Callithrix jacchus: one gene and its partners. Each later gene encodes a partner of the first gene's protein in a complex. Links are inferred from orthologs where the notes say so. Each region holds a gene or a part of one and is shown on either strand. Other genes may lie near its edges. The genes, in order: MAP3K20, MAPK14, PKN1 and MAP2K3.

Region 1 (4,607 bases):
CACCCATCACTCAACTTTCATATCTTTAACCTGTTGAATGACTTACAAATTTTCTATTTCACTCTTGACCTCTTTTCTGAATTTCAGTTTCATATTTCAGTTGCTGCATCTCTACCTGTTTTTACTCCTATGACCTCAAACTCAACATGAAGCCAGCTTCCCTTCCACATATTCCTATTTCTGTCAATGACACCATCATTCTTCCAGTCATCCAGGTCTGAAATCTTGGCATCATCTCTCTTCTCTTCTAAATCTAGTGGTTTACCAATTTCTGTGGGGTCTTCGAGAAATACTTAGTATTTCTCTCAATTCCATTTCTTTTTTTGAGACAGGGTCTCTCTCATCCAGGCTAGAGTGCAGTGGCACGATTGTGGTCTACTGCAGCCTCGACCTCCCCAGTGATTCTCCCACCTGAGCCTCCCTTGTAGCTGGGACTATAGGTGTGTGCCACCACACTGGGCTAATTTTTTTTAGAGATGAGGTCTTACTATGTTACCCAGCCAGGTCTCAAGCAATCCTCTCCCCTTGGCCTCCCGAAGTGCTCGGATTACAGGCACCACACCAAGCCCATTTCTTGTTTTTAATTCCATTTCCTACCCCTAACTTGGTTCCTCATGATTCCATAACCGGGCGGTGACAACGTCTACCACTCACCCTGCTTCCATCCTAGCAACCCAACCTACAACCACTGTGGACTACTCTCTCAAAATGACTATTTAAACAAAAACACAAACACCCATTTCACTCCTTTGATTCTAATTCTCCACAGCTCCCCAGTGTCCATGGGTAATAAAATTCAAATTCAAAATCCTGGATAACGTGGCCCCCGCTTTTGCAAGCGCCTCTAATTTTTCCTTCACAGAACCATCCTCCCCAGTCAGAAATTGCTTTTCTTCCCAACGCCCATGTCCACCTTGGGCTTAGGCCTGTAATGGACTCTGGCTCTTCATCTGAATTCTGCTCTGTTAAAATTGAGAGCAGCAGACCACGGCCCCTCCTCAAAATGCCAGAGGTACCTACTGATCTTTCTAGAGAAGCAGCCTTCAGACCTATGTCCCCAGAAATCTCTACATTTGTCCCTTTCCCAACTAAAGGAACTCTTGCAGGGCACAAAACAGCCTCTGTTTCTTTGTGTCCCCAGCTCCTGTTTGTTGAGGAGTGAGTTGAAGGAGTAGCAGGTGTGTTAACTTGTCAAAAAGATGAGTTCAGGTGCTGGGGGAGGGGAAACACCCCACGGCCCTCCCCCCACAGCGGGGCAGGTGTGTCTGAGGGGCCTCGGCGGGTCCTGGGGCGAGGGGCGGAGGGTGCCACCCGGGCGCAGGCCAGGGAGGCCCGAAAGCCTTCCCCACGCCCCGCTCGCCCGCGCGTGTGACGGGAGGGCTGCCCGGCCGTTCCGCGCCTGGAGGTAGGTGGTGCTGTTGCCGTGACTGTCTTCCTCATTGGCGCCGCGCGGAGAGGCGGAATGTTCAACTCCTGACTCCGGAGGAAGCGTGGGAGCCGCGAGGGCCGTTGTGGTCCCGACCCCCGCCGCCCTCGTAGCGCGCGAGGCCTCGGCGCCCCCGGCTACTGCTCGCGCCAGGCCCGGGAGCCAGGTAGGGGCCAGGCCGGAGGCCGCGGAGGGCGGGAAGTGAGGGGGCGAGGCCTGTCGCGCTCGCGAGTCGTCCCCGCGTCTCGGGGCCGAGGCGCCGCCGGGGCCCGGGAGCCCAGACGGCCGCGAGAGGCTGCTCGGGGCGCTCCTCCCGGACCCAGGGTCCGCGCGGCGGCGGCAGCGGCAGGAGCGAGCGTTACCGGCGCCCGGAGAGTCCTCGCGGGACCTCGGCCTCGGCGCCGCCAAGTGCGGTTCTGGAGAGTTCGGGCCAGTCCCACGGAGAAGTTGGCGCCCGAAGGCGCGGGGCGCAGGCCGGGGTGGCTTGGGCTTTCTCGGCACGGGCAGGGGCCCCGCGAGCAGCAGAGCCGACCAAGCACCGGGTGGCTGGAACGCTGTCGGGGGGGGGCAAAGCGCGAGGTCCCCAAATCAGGGCAGGGTGCCGGCCACTTCCCAGCACACGCCATGCGTGCGAGGAGGGACGACCAACTTCTGCTTTCCTAAGAACTTGGCCGCAGCGGCGTTGCGTCCCATCCATTTTCCTTCATTCTGTTTTCCTCACACAATTAGGCCAGGAACAATGAACACTGAAGATCAGTTTTACAAACAGGCGTAAATGTATCCAGAGCCACCGCTCCCCGCCTTCCTGCCCCGGGCTTGGGCAGCGTGGATCGCCTGCCCTCTCTGGCTTCCCCCTTTCCTCCCACCACAGACAGGGGTGTCCTCTTCAGTGACCCTCAGGGAGCCAGTGTTTTGTGGTCTCCGAGACCAGCACCAGGCCCAGAAGTGCTTACCCAGGCCGCCGCCTCGCCTGGCCTCGCATGCTCATGACAGCTTTCAGAAAACTTTAATTCAGGACTGGCTGGATGACTTCCGATTGCCTCAAAAAAAAAAAAAAAAAAAAAAAAAAAGAATTGGGTATCTCTGTTAGATCGCCGAAAATGTTTCTGATGTGCTTTGAAATCGCCCATAAGCGTTGTTTATGGGGAACTTTATTTTTGTTAGTTTCTGTAATAATGAAAGCAACACAATTCCAAGTATAGTACAGTAAGCAGCTCTCATTAATAATGGTGAGAATCGTCTTACAGAGTGACTTGGAGGATTTTTGAATTAAGATTGTTGAAAACTGTATTCCGACTTTAACCCTGAAGCTGTTTTAGGGGAGCCTTCTTGCTTCCCTGAACTTCGTTGACATGAACAGCTAGGATTTACTGGACCCAAACCTCCAAACACGTTTAAAGATAAGTAAGCAAGTGATTCAGGGCTACTTAATGCCCTCTTTGTAGTAGGCCTGTCTCCACGGTGAAATTTCACTTGTTTTTCAATTTAAAAAAAAAATGTGATGGCTGCATTTTTAATTATGGTTTTGGCCATTTGTAGAGCCTTTGTTTTAAATTCCTGCTACCATAGTGAGTCTTAGGAGATTGTAAATAGGAATTTAGTTTGGGAAGAGAGAATTAAGATAAAAAATGGTCTTTTGGACCACTGCATTATTTATTTTAATCTTTCACAATTCCTACTATAAACTTTTTGAGATTATTTGGGGAGTTTTTTTAACTACAAAATATTATTTAAATAAAAAATTGTAGTGATCATAATTGCGGAGTAAATGACCATGATGCAATTGCCAGGACTTTTTTTCTTGTCTAAAAAAGCAAATAGATGATTGATCTGTTTTTCTTATTCTTTTAGGGAATACATAAGGACACACTAAAGAAAGGGAGAGAGAGAAAAATATCCAAATATTAAACACGCGGACTTGGATCTAAAAATGGATGGTCAAAGATCTTGGGAACTAAGGGGCCTTCTTGCCAAATAAGGAAACTTGGCAAGTTGCACTGTGTATTTTAACTTAGCACAAGAGTGAGTGTTATTGGCAATATATTGGCTCAGCGCCTATCTGGAATGAGTAGTGAAACTGACTTTGTTAGGGCTACTAAATGACAAATAGGAGGTCTGAGGGGCATGAAGTGAATAAATCGAATCATCAGAGAAATTACTGGAGAAATTACAATGATGTTGCTTGAAAAGAAGTCAGATGTAAGGTGAAGCTGTTAGTGTGGAATGAAAGAGCAAAATGGACAGTTTATTTTAGAAATTGGTAGATTTAGAAGAGAGGAGAGAATCGATGTTTATTGTTTTGTTTTTTAAAAAGACTGGAAAAAGGTGTTTGTGGGGATATAGCACTTCTTGGAATAAGATAGCCCTATGTCTGTATTCTGAGATGTTGGAAATAAAAATGAATTTAGATCACTTGTTTTCCATTTTATTCTATCCAGGACAAATTGACAGGCTGTATCTTGTCTATCTAAATGTAATAGGAACAGTTAAGACACCTTTTGGTCTTACTGCAAGGAAGATTTAGGCAATTTTTTTTTTGTGGCTATTCACTTTGCCCCACTACATAAAAATAAGCAGAGTTCCAGCTGTGACCAGAAAACCGTACCTGGTAAGGAAAGAGGGCTGTGAATGCTAGAGCTTAGACTGATTTGACTGATACATGGGTGCTTTTATATCAGACCTTCCTATGGAAAGCTGAAGCATCGATTACACCCTAACAGCTGTTAAGTAATCCCAGCACAGTAGAAGAATGTGAGAACAAAGCAGCCACACATCTGACACCGTAACCCCAGTGTCTTCAATTGTAATAGGAAATTAAAGCCTCAGATTGAACTTTGGGTGGATGGTAAGCAATCCAGTAATTACTGTAATAAGAAAGGAGTTAAAGAGGGAAAACAAAAGGCAAATGAGAAGGAGGAGGCAGAACGTTATTAACAAAAAGACACTATATGGTAGAAAACAATAATATGACTTTGGAGTCAGGCCTGAATTTGACACAAGTTGTGTCACCTGTAAGTTAGATAGTTGGCTTGAGCTACTTTCACACCGTTGATCCTCAGTTTTCTCACATGTAAGTTAGGGACAGTAGTACCTGCTTGCTAAGGATAAGTACAGTCATGTGTCTGTTAACAATGGGGATAGGTTCTGAGAGAACTGCGTTTTTAGGTGGTGTCGTAGTTGT
Region 2 (4,584 bases), on another chromosome or scaffold:
GATTCCTACTTCCAGCCTTCCTCCTCACCCCTTGTAACCATCCCCTCATTCCCTTGATGCCCCCCACCCCATCCCTCTCTTCTTCACAATCATGTTTTTACTCTTACTTCCCCTTCACCCTCCATTACATCTTAGAAAGCTTCCTAGCCTCCCTAGTTTGGAACATTCTCAAGCATTATGTTTTTATAGATAAGAGAATTCCAGCTAAGCTACATTGGATCCAAGACAGCTTTCCATGAATCACCCATGACTCTGTTTTCTGGTTTTATGTTGCTTTCCTTGAGGAGGACTGAGGATCCTGTACCACCTCCTAAATTGAAATCATGGTGATTGTTCATAATTTTTCAATAAATACGTATGGGACATGCTTTATGTTCTAGACACTGTGCTAGATGTTGGGACAAGATAGGCAAAGTCTGAGCCCTCCAAGGTATGACACGGGAAATGATGAGAAATGTCCTGGCTTGCACCCAGTTATTTCTAATACAAGAAACTAAGAGAATCAGACAGGATCTGATTCTTCTGCTCATTGTAACAAGCTTTAGCATAGGTGTAGGTTGATAATGGATGTAGGCATGAGGTTATAATGCCTTGCCCATTTACATTTATCTTGTTCAGTTTTTACACATGACTCTGTTCATCGGGAATGCAGGGCAGAAATTCCTAAGGGTTTTCCTGAACTAAGGGTTCAGGAAAGGTCAATTGACTTGCCTAAATTTGATGAGACTCATGCCCTATTCTTCTTACTCCAAGAGGCCTAAGTTAAAGGCTTAAAATCCTCTTCACTGATGGCTCTTCAGGATAGGAGTCAGTTTCAAGTCTTCAGTGTAATGGTTTTTTTAAATGCTTCTCAAAGGGAAATATCAGAGACTTTCCTGAATCAGAACCACCTAAGATGTACTATAAAAATACATGCTCTTGATGCCGTCCTCTGACCTACCCAATTAGATTCCCTGTGAGTCCTGGGAACTTGCATCTTAAACTCCTAGAGTGATTTTTCTGCGTGTAAGTTTAAGAACTACTAGGAGAGTTTGAATGGAGAGCCTAGCTTTGATGCAGGTTGACATTTGTTTTGGGGGGCAGATTTCATCAAGCATCTTGAAGAGTAACCACATGTCCTTGAACAGATGGGAATGCAGCAGCCTTCTGGCCGGAACTTGTCTCTTTTTTATGCAAGTGTTTTTTGGAATTTGGGGGTTCTGTTGAGCAGGTGCTCAGCTGCTGGGAACTACTCTCTGTTAAAGATCTTTTGGCTCTTCCCCAACATGCTATTTGTCCCTCTCGTTTCCCACCACAGAGCCAGGTATTTGCCCCGCCGGCCACGGTGAGGCGCGCGCGGCGTGTGCTGCCCGCTTATCTCTTTCTTCCCTAGTGCTCCTTCGCGCCCTTAAGGAGACAGTCCCTGGGGAATTTCTGCCTCTGGTCTACAGTTGTTGCTCTCTTCTCGCGAGAATTGCTTCTCCCATATTCTCCTCTCACGAAGCCCCGCCCGCGGAGAGGTTCCATATTGGGTAAAATCTCGGTTCGCGGAGAGTTCCAGGAGCTGTTCTCGCGAGAGTACGGGGAGGCTCCCGTTTGCTGGCTCTGGAACCGGGACCACTGGATCCTCAGCGGGCGCAGCTGGAGCAGAAGTCCTGCGACGCAGCCCAGAGTCGGCCTAGTAGGGGCGAAGGTGCAGGGATATCGCGGCGGGCGCAGCCTTGAGCGCCAGAGCGCGTCCCTTCTCTTAACCGGGCTTGCCCCAGTCGCAGAGGCGCATCCAGCCGCTGCGGCTGACAGCAGCCGCGCGCGCGGGAGTCTGCGGGGTCGCGGCAGCCGCACCTGCGCGGGCGACCAGCGCGAGGTCCCCGCCCGGTTGGGCGGGCAGCAAGGGCCGGGGAGAGGGTGCGGGTGCAGGCGGGGGCCCCACAGGGCCACCTTCTTGCCTGGCGGCTGCCGCTGGAAAATGTCTCAGGAGAGGCCCACGTTCTACCGGCAGGAGCTGAACAAGACAATCTGGGAGGTGCCCGAGCGTTACCAGAACCTGTCTCCAGTGGGCTCCGGCGCCTATGGCTCTGTGTGGTGAGTGTCGCCGGGCCTCGCTGGGGCTGCTGTGGTCAGGGTGGCCCCTCGCGCCCGAGGGCCAGGCCTGCCCCACGGCTCAGCGTTGCGTCAAGTGGCAGGAATTTTCCTCGGGGGAGGGCATTGCTGCCCTTCGAGCCCTGCCTGTTCTGCACCTCCTGCACCCCTCGCCCTGCACTCGCGGGTATGTGGTCCACCGTGTGCAGCACTCAGGTCCGCTGCGAGAGGTAGGTGGTGGTGCTGGAGCTCGGTTCTGGGTAGCACCCTGCGCCTTCCCATCTCGGAGGGTTGCTGTTCGGCGGCAGGCGCCGGGGGCAGGGCTGCTTTCTTGGGGGGTCTCCCTACCGACCTGGAGCAGAAGGACCCTCTCCCGCGATGCGCCCACGCTGGAACGCGGGAGCCTGTCCTTTGAGCAGACAAGCTCGGGGAGCTCCCGGGAGAAGCAGAAGGGCAGAGGCCAACCCGAAGACTTCAGTCATCTGAACAAAACTGAGCAGGAAGGGAGCTCTCTCCGGGCTTTTTTTTTCCTTCTTTTTTTGCAAACCTCTGTCGAAATCCCATCTTGAGAAGCGTTCTTTTTGAATTCGCACTTGAGTTAGCACCGATCCATAGAGCTTAAAATACCGACTTTATCTCAGTGAGCACTGTGCCAGCTTGAGTGGTGTGTTTCCGATTCAGTTGAAAGCGTATTTCCTTTCCGTGGAGGGGCGGCGGTGGTAATGCTTGCAAGAACACTGCAGCTTGAGAAACTGGCAGCCTCACTGATTAGTCACATACCACTGCTCATTTAAGTATTGTTCGACAAAACAATTTTCTCCTTTGGAGCAAGAAAGATTCAGATCTGTGAGGTGCCCTCAAGATCAAAAAGTTATTAACAGTGCTGGGAGGTATTGTAAATTTCTTGTTGTGATAATTCCTGCGAATACTGTGGTTTAAAAGTCCCTCAGAGAGTTTGCAGGGAATTATCTGCATTTATGGCTTGAGGTACACGATGGTTTTCGTAAAGATATGGAACCACATAGAAAAGGAAGGGAAGAAATACTTTTTAGCTTTAATTTACACTATGAGTGTGTTTTAAATTAAGTCGATATCATATGATTTCCAGACCTGAAATATTTCACTAACTGACCTCTAACTTCCAAGGTTTTATACCCTGTATTTTAGATTTTGTATCATTTGAAAGCTATGGATCTGAAACTAAATATCAGATTTAACGGTTAGCTTTTTCTGTGTTTTAGTAATTCGTGTTTATGCAAGATTTGAAAAGGGGCCTGTAAAATCGTTTTTTGTTTTGGAACAAATTCCAGGCTTTTGGATGTGTTAATCTTTAAATATGATTGCTGTGTTTCCTGAAGTCACATCATGAATTTCCTGTTTGGTAGAATCTTCTGGGTAATTGAGATTGTGCAATTGTGTCCAGCAACAGATCATGTTGCATTTTCTAGTTCAAGCTGCTTAAGTTATGTTGTAGAATGCACCGTGCTTGACATCTTTCTCTCATTTTTACAGTGTGTCAGTTTACATTTTAAAGGAATTTGCAACATTTTACATTCAGAGAGAGAGAAAGAGAGTGTGTGTGTGTGTGTAGTTGATTTACAGCATTTTACATGCAGTATATACGTATATATATCTACTTGAATTGCTAATTTTCAAAGATGTATTTGGATCATTGCTCCTTTAATATTTTATGGCTCATTAATAGCTTTCCATTTTTTTCTTTCTTGAATTGACACATTCATTTCTGTAGTGTCGTGTTTTTGTTTTCAATGCTATTTAAATTTTAATGGAGTGATACAGCAGAATAAGTCAACTGTAGAGGGTTTGGGAAACTCCAATTGAATTGCTTGCAAGAGTTCACTGCTGTTGGTGACTCGCTCTGAACTGGAACAGGAGATCCAGATTTACAGTGAAGTGTCATTAAAATTAACTCCACATTTCTTTAGTGGTATATTTTTCTGTGGTATAGAAGTCAGCAGTATCTGACACTTAAAAGTACTTTTATTGAACAGGTTTTAAAAAATAGGTAGTGCATTGACATTGGATAAAATTTGAAAGCTTTAAAAAGGTATTCAGTGAAAAGTCTCCTTTCCTTTTTGTTCTCCAGTTACTCTACTGTCTCTTTTTTTTTTTTTTTTTTTTTTTGAGACAATCTCGCTCTGCCACCAGGCTGGAGTGCAGTGGCACAATTACGGTTCACTGCGACCTCCATCTCCCGGGTTCAAGCAGTTCTCCTGCCTCAGCCTCCTGAGTAGCTGGGACTACAGGCGCATGCTATCACGCCCAGCTAAGTTTTGTATTTTTAGTAGAGACAGGGGTTTCACCATGTTGGCCAGGATGGGCTGGATCTCTTGACCTTGTGATCTGCCTGCCTCAGCCTCCCAAAGTGCTGGGATTACAGGCGAGAGCTACTGCACCCGGCTACTCTCTTAAAGACAAGCACTGTTAAATGTCTTGTGTGTCTTTCCAGGGAGGCAGAGTTTTTTTATTTGCTTGTTTCTTTAGTAGTATTTCTACTAAAGGGAT
Region 3 (4,090 bases), on another chromosome or scaffold:
ACTGAAACCTCTGCCTCCCAGGTTCAAGCAATTCTCCTGCCTCAGCCTCCCGAGTAGCTGGGACTACAGGTGCCCACCACCATGCCCAGCTAATTTTTGTATTTTTAGTAGAGATGGGGTTTCACCATATTGGCCAGGCTGGTCTCGAACTCTTGACCCCATAATCCACCCGCCTCAGCCTCCAAAAGTGCTGGGATTACAGGCGTGAGCTACCACACCCGGCCCATATCCAGCTAACTTTTTATAGAAATGGGGTTTCACTGTGTTGTTCAGGCTGGTCTCAAACTCCAGGGCTCCAGTGGTCCTCCCCTGTCTGCCTCCCAAAAGTGCTGGGATTATAGGCATGAGCCACTTTTTAACCAGGATGGAGATCTGGGCACACATTTTTAGCCAGCATAGACATGCTGCGTGACTCCAGGGAAGTTCCTAGAGGTCTCTGAGCCTGGAGCAGGACCCCTGACGCTGCCCAGGCCAGACCTAGGGGGAAAGAAGGGGGGACCCTCACCAGGCTCGATGGGCTAGAAGGAGGATCCTGCGAGCTCTTCTGCGGTGAGCTGTCTGAGTCGGTGCTGAGGTTCAGCTTCTCCACCGATATGTCACTGCAGCAGAAGAGAGAAGGGTGTGTCTGGGACGCAAGACCCTGGAAAGCTTCAAGGGGCAACTGGGTCCCTGGGGCCCTCCTTCCTTACCTGGCGCTCCGGGCCTCGGATCCCGGAGAAGCCCCGGGGCTGAAGGTGGTGTTGGGGATGAGCCTCCGGAGCAGCCGCACCCACGTGGCAACATCGATGTTCATCTGCCTAGCGTGCTGGAACGCCTTCCCTGGGGGGACAGGGGCAGGTGTCACCCCTCGTGACACTCTCAGGATCCCCAGCCTCTCCCCGAGAGGCTCTGGAGCAGCCTCTCACCTTGCTGCTTGGAGAAAATTTTCTTCTGCCGTCGGAGCCGAGGAATCCTCTCAATGACAGGGTTTCGGAAGGTGACCTGGAGGGAGGGACCAAAAGGTGAGGTCGCCCTGCCCCCCTGCAGGCAGACAGCTTGGTGAGGAAGCCCCTAGGAGCATAGGCATGCGCACCTGAGTGGGGTTCTGATTGTGGGGCATCACATTCAATCCAAGTACTAGGTGACAATGAAGAGGTCATCAACCTCTTCATTGTCTCCAACTCCTGGCCTCAAACGATCCGCCCACCTTGGCCTCCCAAAGTGCTGGGATTCCAGGCATGAGCCATGGCACCTGGCCAAAAGTTCTATGGGCTGGTGCTGCAGAAAGTTCTAGGGGATGGTGCTGCTGTGGAGGCGTACAAACAGAACAGAGCGCTACCGGCAGACCTTGAAGGCGAGGAGAAATGCTTTAGAATTTGTCCCCCAGGGCGGGGCATGGTGGCTCATGCCTGTAATCCCAGCACTTTGGGATGCTGAGGTGGGCACATCATGAGGTCAAGAGATCGAGACCATCCTGGCTAACATGGTGAAACCCCGTGTCTACTAAAAATAAAAAAATTAGCTGGGCATGGTGGCGGGCTCCTGTAGTCCTAGCTACTCGGGAGGCTGAGGCAGGAGAATTGCTTAAACTCGGAAGGCAGAGGTTGCAGTGAGCTGAGATAGTGCCACTGCACTCCAGCCTGGTGACAGAGGAAGACTCCATCTCAAAAAATTTTAAAAAAAATTTGTCGCCCAGGCCACCCGCCACCACTTCCCATTTGGTTCTGGACTGTGCTCTGAATGGAAAAACAATTTAAAGCTCTGCCATCTGAGGTCAACCCCCTCCGAGCCCCTTTCTTTCAGTGGTCTGCGATGGTCAGACCAGGGAAGAACCTCTGCTTGGGGATGTGGATATAGAGAGATGGGGAAACAGATAGACAGATACAGAGACAGGGGATGGATGGCTGGGTAGTTACAGCTAGAGAGAGAGGGATTGACAGAGATAGGGACACACAGACATAGCGAGATGGATGGATGGACATGTAGATAAACACAGATATACAGAAAAAAATAGAGAGGGGCACAGATAGATATAGAGAATAGGCCGGGCGCGGTGGCTCAAGCCTGTAATCCAAGCACTTTGGAGGCCAAGGTAGGCGGATCACCTTGAGGTCGGGAGTTCAAGACCAGCCTGACCAACATGGTGAAACCCCGTCTTTATTAAAAAAAAAAAAAAAAAGCAGCAGCAGCAGCAGGTAGATATAGAGAATAGAGACAGAGAGCAGATGGGTAGACATAAGAGAGAGGAATATACAGAGATGGATGGATAGATGGATAAGATGACTGATAGATAATATAGATGGATGGATGCAAAGACAGATTGGTTGATAGATAATACAGATACATGGATGGATGGATGGATGGATGGATAAATGACTGATAGATATTATAGATGGATGATGCAAAGACAGATTGGTTGATTGATAGATAATATAGATGAATGGATGGATGGATAAGATAAACAGATAATATAGATACCTATTATAGATGAATACACAGATAAAACAGATAATATAGGTACATCTATTAATGGACAGATGGATGCATAGACAAGATGGATGGATGAATGCATAGAAAAATAGGATGGATAGATGGATAGGAAGGTTAGTAGGTAGGTAGGTAGATTGTGTATACATACATACATAGATAACCTATGCAATATATGTATGTAAAACAGGGTACACATTTAGGTTAGGGGAATATTAAAAGTGTTTTTTAGGATAAATTGGCTAAATGAGGGGTCAAGTGATTTTCCTCCTCTGTGCCTCAGTTTCCTCCACTGTCACATTTTTTTTTAATTCCTTATTTATTTATTTTTAAGACGGAGTTTTGCTCTTGTTACCCACGCTGGAGTGCAATGGCGTGATCTCGGCTCACCGCAACCTCCGCCTCCTGGGTTCAGGTAATTCTCCTGCCTCAGCCTCCCAAGTAGCTGGGATTACAGGCACGCACCACCATGCCTAGCTAATTTTTTGTATCTTTAGTAGAGACGGGGTTTCACCATGTTGACCAGGATGGTCTCAATCTCTTGACCTCGTGATCCACCCACTTCGGCCTCCCAAAGTGCTGAGATTATAGGCGTGAGCCACTGCGCCCAGCCCACTGTCAAATTTGAGTAATAACAGTCCCTCTTTTGTTGGGTGGCTGTGACAATTAACAAGTTCATGCTGGCAAAGTGCTTGCTACAGAGCCCGGTTTATGCAATGAGAACTCTGCTAGAAATGTTATTCAGATGAGAGTTCCCAACTGAAAACCCTTGACAATGTCTGGAGGTCTCTGGGCTGCCAAAGCTCAGGGGAGGCGGAGTCACCAACATCCTGTAAGCAGTGGCCAGAGGTGCTGCTAACCGTCCTCCAGAGCACGGGACAGCCCTGTCACAGAGGATGACCAGGCCCCAGTGTGAACAGCACCAAAGACAGGACACCTCCGTTCAGACCATCACCCTCCCACAACTGTGGACGGAATTGCTCTCTCTCGACCGTGGCTCTGGTAGCAAACACCACGACACGCTGCCAGGTTTTCTATCTCTTTCCTGGCTGGATGAAATTTTATAATTTATTTACTTCTTTCTTTAAACATTTCTAAATTTGGAAATCAGCTTCTTCTTCCTCTTCTTTTTGTTTTTTGAATATGTTGCTTCGGAACAAAACCAAACCCAGCTAAGGTCATGTCACTGATGTGGCCTTTTTTTATTTTTTTCTTTTTGTGAGAGAGTCTCACTCTGTTGCCCAGGCTGGAGGGCAGTGGCAGGATCACAGCTCACTGCAACCTCCACCTAAGGGGTTCAAGGGATTCTCCTGCCTCAGCCTCCCAAGTAGCTGGGAATACAGGTGCCCAATACCATATCCAGCTAATTTTTGTAGTTTTAGTAGAGGTGGGTTTTCCCCATGTTGGCCAGGATGGTCTTAAACTCCTGGCCTCAAGTGATCCACCTGTCTCGGCCTCCTAAAGTGCTGGGATTACAGGTGTGAGGCACCATGCCCAGCCTAGAACAGGCAGATCTGAAGCCTATCTTCCCTTTCTAGAAGAGCCTGATCTAAAACATATCTTTCCCTCTAGAAGACATCTATTTGAAACATATCTTCCCCTTTCAGAAGAGATAGATATAAAA
Region 4 (3,859 bases), on another chromosome or scaffold:
AGGGGGTGAACTGAGACTGATGAACAACCAAGGTGGACCCAAGTCCTTCAGGCCATCAGCTGAACTTCCGAATCCAAAGGTACCGAAGCCAAGCACACCCCGCTTACGTGAACAAACTCCCTGCTGCCCGGCCATGCTGCTAGTGTCATGGGGCCAGAGGGGACCCTGCATGGGCACCTTCATTAAGCTGTCCCCACTCCCCTCAGAGCCTTCTCCGGAGCCCACTACCTGTCCCCTAGTCTGTTCTTCTGTCTTATAAGCTGTATGGCTTTGGGCAAGTGATAATCAGCTCTCTGGTTCTGTTTTCCCATCTGTAAATGGAGGTCATGTAACCTCCATGAGGCCACTGTGTCCAGTCAAGGCACAGTGTCTGGGTGCTCACCACTCTGTGCACCTGGCTGTCATCACTGCTCCAGGACAGTGGGATGGGTGGCTGCCACCAGGGGACTGGGCCTGCATGCTCGCTGCTCTTTCCAGCGTCAGTATAGGGCCTGGTGCCTGGATGGTCACAGGATGTCACCTTGTCACAGCCCTCTGGAGGCCTCTGTGTCCTCAGATGTAGGAGGGCCTGGTGGGTCGGCAGCCCTCCCTCCCCTGAGCACGCCACCCTGGCCCTAGCCCAGAGGCAAGGGTCCCTCGAGGCACCACAACCTTCCCCGAGTACGAGGGGGGCTCGCAGGTGTCACACATAGTCTTACACAACCTTTAGTCCTTATCTTTTTTTAATTAAAACAGCAACCAGGTACCTGCCCCAACCCATCAGGAAAGGACCCAGGATGGGCAGTCCTTTTTTCAAAAAAATATATTTTCTTTTTTTAAAACACCACCAAAGCAAATCCATAGCCCCTATGGAGCCGGTCCTCAAGGAGTGAGCTGGAAGGCTCCCCCTACACTTCTCTGAGCAGAGACTTGGGCCCCTCCCACTAGACCCCAGCTGGAGCAGAGGGTGAGGCTCTGCCTGCTGGTGCCTTAGGGGATGGGGGAGAAGTGATCAGCTCCAAACCATGCAAGAAAAACAAGCCAAACCCAGAAAGCAAAAGAAAAAAACAATGGAAGATAAATTAAAAAAAATAAACAGGTGAAATGACACCAGTAAAGGTGGCAGGCAGGACTGGGTGTCCCAGTGTGCTCTGAAGAGGCCCTGTTCGCCCGTGCCAGGGGAAGGCCTTGGGCGGCTCATGGCCTCTCCCCCATGGGATTCTTGGGGGATTCACATAGCTCATCCCCACTTGTGGACCCCACACCAAAGCTGGGATAGAGGTGTGGCCACCCTGGGCCAAAGTGTGCAAAGTCCATTCAGTCAGGAGAGTAAAAAAATATACAACTTGGGTGGCATCCAGGCTGGGCAAGGCACCTGCTGTGCAAGGGGCAGCAGCATCCAAAGGGGCGTCCAGGCCCCAGCAGTCCAGGGTCTCAGCAACTGGAGACGGTCCTCAGAGCAGCAGGGAGAGAGAGGCACTTCGGGGCCGATAAGGGCCTGGCTGGAGGTCCCGGTGGTCTGCTTTTTTGGCACTTGGGACAAATGGCTGGCTGCAGAGCCAAGTGGGAGCAACCCCCTCAGTTCCTCCTGGATGCCCTGGGCCAGGATGGCAGTAGCTTATGGTGCAGGTGCGCACTGCCCCTGCAGATGGGGCTGTGGGGCTCAGGAGGGCCGGAGTGGGGTCCAAGGCCCAGGCCCTATGAGTCTTCTCCCAGGATCTCCTTCACGAAGGCAGCAATGTCCGTCTTCTTGGTTTTGTGCAAAGTGAAGAAGGGGTGCACCTGGGGGTGACAGAAGGCACACTCACCATGGTGGGGGTAGTGGGGGGGGAGGTGCCCATTCTTCCCCAACCAGCCGCAGCCCAAGTGTTCCTCCTGCCTGGCAAAATCCTACTCATCCTTCTAGGACCTCCACCCCCAGGAGGTCCTCCATGACTGTCACAGAGGGCGTTTGTGGCTCCTCCTCAGCTCTCCTGTGATCACTCTCCAGCCACACTAACCTCTCTTTCCCCCACACATCTGGCCTCTGCCCATGCTGGACCTTTTGCTTGGGACAGCCTCTCCGTCAACAGATAACCCTTATTCATCCTTCCAGGCTCAGTTCAAATGGTACCTCCTCCATGAAGCCTTCCCTGATGCCACCCCTTGGCCCCTCTGCCCCATTCTGTCACACACTGCCTGTGCACCCTTCCCAGAGCCTGGTATGAAGGAAGGAGGGAGAAGGAAGCCGGGTTTGCAGAAGCAAACAAATGAATGAGCACCTAAAGGAGTCAACATGGGGCCAGAGGAGCTGCCCATCTGTGTGCAGGACGCAGCCCTCTCCTGAGCCCACCTAGCCACCAGCCAGCCCTGAAGAGCAGGGCAGGCACCTCCTGCCCACACTCACCATCAGCTCCAGGTAGCTCATTCGCTCTGCGGGGTTCTTCCTCAGGCTAGGAGAGAACGGTGCAGCTATAGCCAGGCTGGCAGGGAGGAAGGAAGCCCAGCCTCCTAATTGCCACCCCAGGATTGCCCCAGGCCTGGGGGACACATGCGCCCAGGGAAGAAGGGACAAGACCATCCAGGGTTTCTCCCAAGGTGGAGGGGCATTCACAGGGGCAAACTAGAGGCTTGCAGCAAGTTTCTCTGGCCTTGGGGTCCTCGTTTTCTTGTCTCCTTAATGACCCAGGAATTTCCATATCAAAACAGGACTCTCCAGTGCTCTGCCTCACAATCATATGCTTGGTATCCTCAGTCAGGAGAGAAAACTCCTTAGCATGGGTCCTGGGAGAGGTTAGTCCCCACTTAAAGGGGCCAGACTGCCCAGGGACTCTGCTGGGCTCCTCTGTTGCTGATGACGGTCGACAACAAGTCCCAGGACCCTGGGTGTGAGCCACGGTACCAGCCGCTTCTTCCTTATCAAGTTCTTGCTCCATTTAATTACGGTCAGAGAAGTTGGTCTGTATGACTTTGCCCTTTTCCTTATTCCCTCTGTAATCTCAAACATGATTTTTATAAGGCTCCCATGGGGCATTCTTTAATTTGGTTCAGAGTTCTACATATCAATAAAAGCAAACTTGTTTTCTGTGTTCAAATCTTCCATATACTTTTTTCTTTTTTTCAGCCTATCTGATCTGTCACTTCTGGAAGAACTGCATTAAAACCTCCTGCTAGGACCATAGTTTTGTCCAAAGCTCCTCACGCTCCAGCTGTTTCTGCCTTACATATTTTGATGCCTTTCATCTGGGGGGTTATTTGCTAATGGAAAAAGGCACAGGGCCCAGGAAGATGCCGGGATCGGGCCAGGGAGGGCACCAATAGGCGCTCAGCATACCCCGGACTCACCACTGCGCAGTGAAGTCCACAAACTCGGGGGAGAAACGGTCAGCTGGGAGCTGGGGGGACGGCTCCTCCACCACCTGCTTCAGCTGCTGAAACGGGGTCCCCCAGGACTCGTAAGGGAATCGTAGGATGGCCATCTCAATCTGCAGCAGGGACGGGGGGTCAGAGGCCCTGGACCCAGATACACTCACACTCTGCACCCAGGAGCCAGGGTTGGGGGCTCTCGCCCACCCTGGCACCAGCGCGAGGCCTCAAGGCTGCACAGCTGATCTCCCTGCCACATCCCAGCAGAGCAAAGGTGAAAGCCAGAGATGGCAGCTCTTAGCTCCCCTGACCCAGCCAGCAGGATACAGTTCAGAAAGCAGATCCAGCGCATGCCAGGACTGGTGAGAACATCGTTGGGTTTTCAAACAACCTGAATTCTGAAGATTTTACAAAACAATGTAGGTTGCAGCTGCTCTGGAAAAATCTGAGGAGCTGGTAACCTCAGGCTGCAGCCTCCTGAGCCAGGTAGGCAGGTCCCAGTGGTCACAGCCACTCCCCTTCCTAACATCTGGCC

The links.
Region 2: MAP3K20 (region 1) and MAPK14 share a complex: the UniProt entries of both Homo sapiens proteins name them as parts of the signaling complex. The link is inferred for Callithrix jacchus from reciprocal best matches to the Homo sapiens genes MAP3K20 and MAPK14.
Region 3: MAP3K20 (region 1) and PKN1 share a complex: the UniProt entries of both Homo sapiens proteins name them as parts of the signaling complex. The link is inferred for Callithrix jacchus from reciprocal best matches to the Homo sapiens genes MAP3K20 and PKN1.
Region 4: MAP3K20 (region 1) and MAP2K3 share a complex: the UniProt entries of both Homo sapiens proteins name them as parts of the signaling complex. The link is inferred for Callithrix jacchus from reciprocal best matches to the Homo sapiens genes MAP3K20 and MAP2K3.

What each region holds. Positions count from the first base shown.
Region 1 is NC_133507.1:56,416,391-56,420,997, reverse strand, and holds the start of MAP3K20 (mitogen-activated protein kinase kinase kinase 20), read left to right. Parts: upstream 1-1,364; 5' UTR 1,365-1,405; intron 1,406-1,425; exon of another isoform or gene 1,426-1,592; intron 1,593-4,607. UniProt on the Homo sapiens protein: Stress-activated component of a protein kinase signal transduction cascade that promotes programmed cell death in response to various stress, such as ribosomal stress, osmotic shock and ionizing radiation.
Region 2 is NC_133505.1:44,336,152-44,340,735, forward strand, and holds the start of MAPK14 (mitogen-activated protein kinase 14), read left to right. Parts: upstream 1-1,573; 5' UTR 1,574-1,945; coding exon 1,946-2,061; intron 2,062-2,235; exon of another isoform or gene 2,236-2,247; coding exon of another isoform or gene 2,248-2,288; intron 2,289-4,584. UniProt on the Homo sapiens protein: Serine/threonine kinase which acts as an essential component of the MAP kinase signal transduction pathway.
Region 3 is NC_133523.1:13,248,125-13,252,214, reverse strand, and holds part of PKN1 (serine/threonine-protein kinase N1), read right to left. Parts: intron 982-4,090; coding exon 906-981; intron 820-905; coding exon 690-819; intron 600-689; coding exon 506-599; intron 1-505. UniProt on the Homo sapiens protein: PKC-related serine/threonine-protein kinase involved in various processes such as regulation of the intermediate filaments of the actin cytoskeleton, cell migration, tumor cell invasion and transcription regulation.
Region 4 is NC_133506.1:64,675,777-64,679,635, forward strand, and holds the end of MAP2K3 (dual specificity mitogen-activated protein kinase kinase 3), read right to left. Parts: intron 3,444-3,859; coding exon 3,304-3,443; intron 2,412-3,303; coding exon 2,366-2,411; intron 1,762-2,365; coding exon 1,678-1,761; coding exon of another isoform or gene 1,643-1,677; 3' UTR 705-1,642; downstream 1-704. UniProt on the Homo sapiens protein: Dual specificity kinase. Is activated by cytokines and environmental stress in vivo. Catalyzes the concomitant phosphorylation of a threonine and a tyrosine residue in the MAP kinase p38.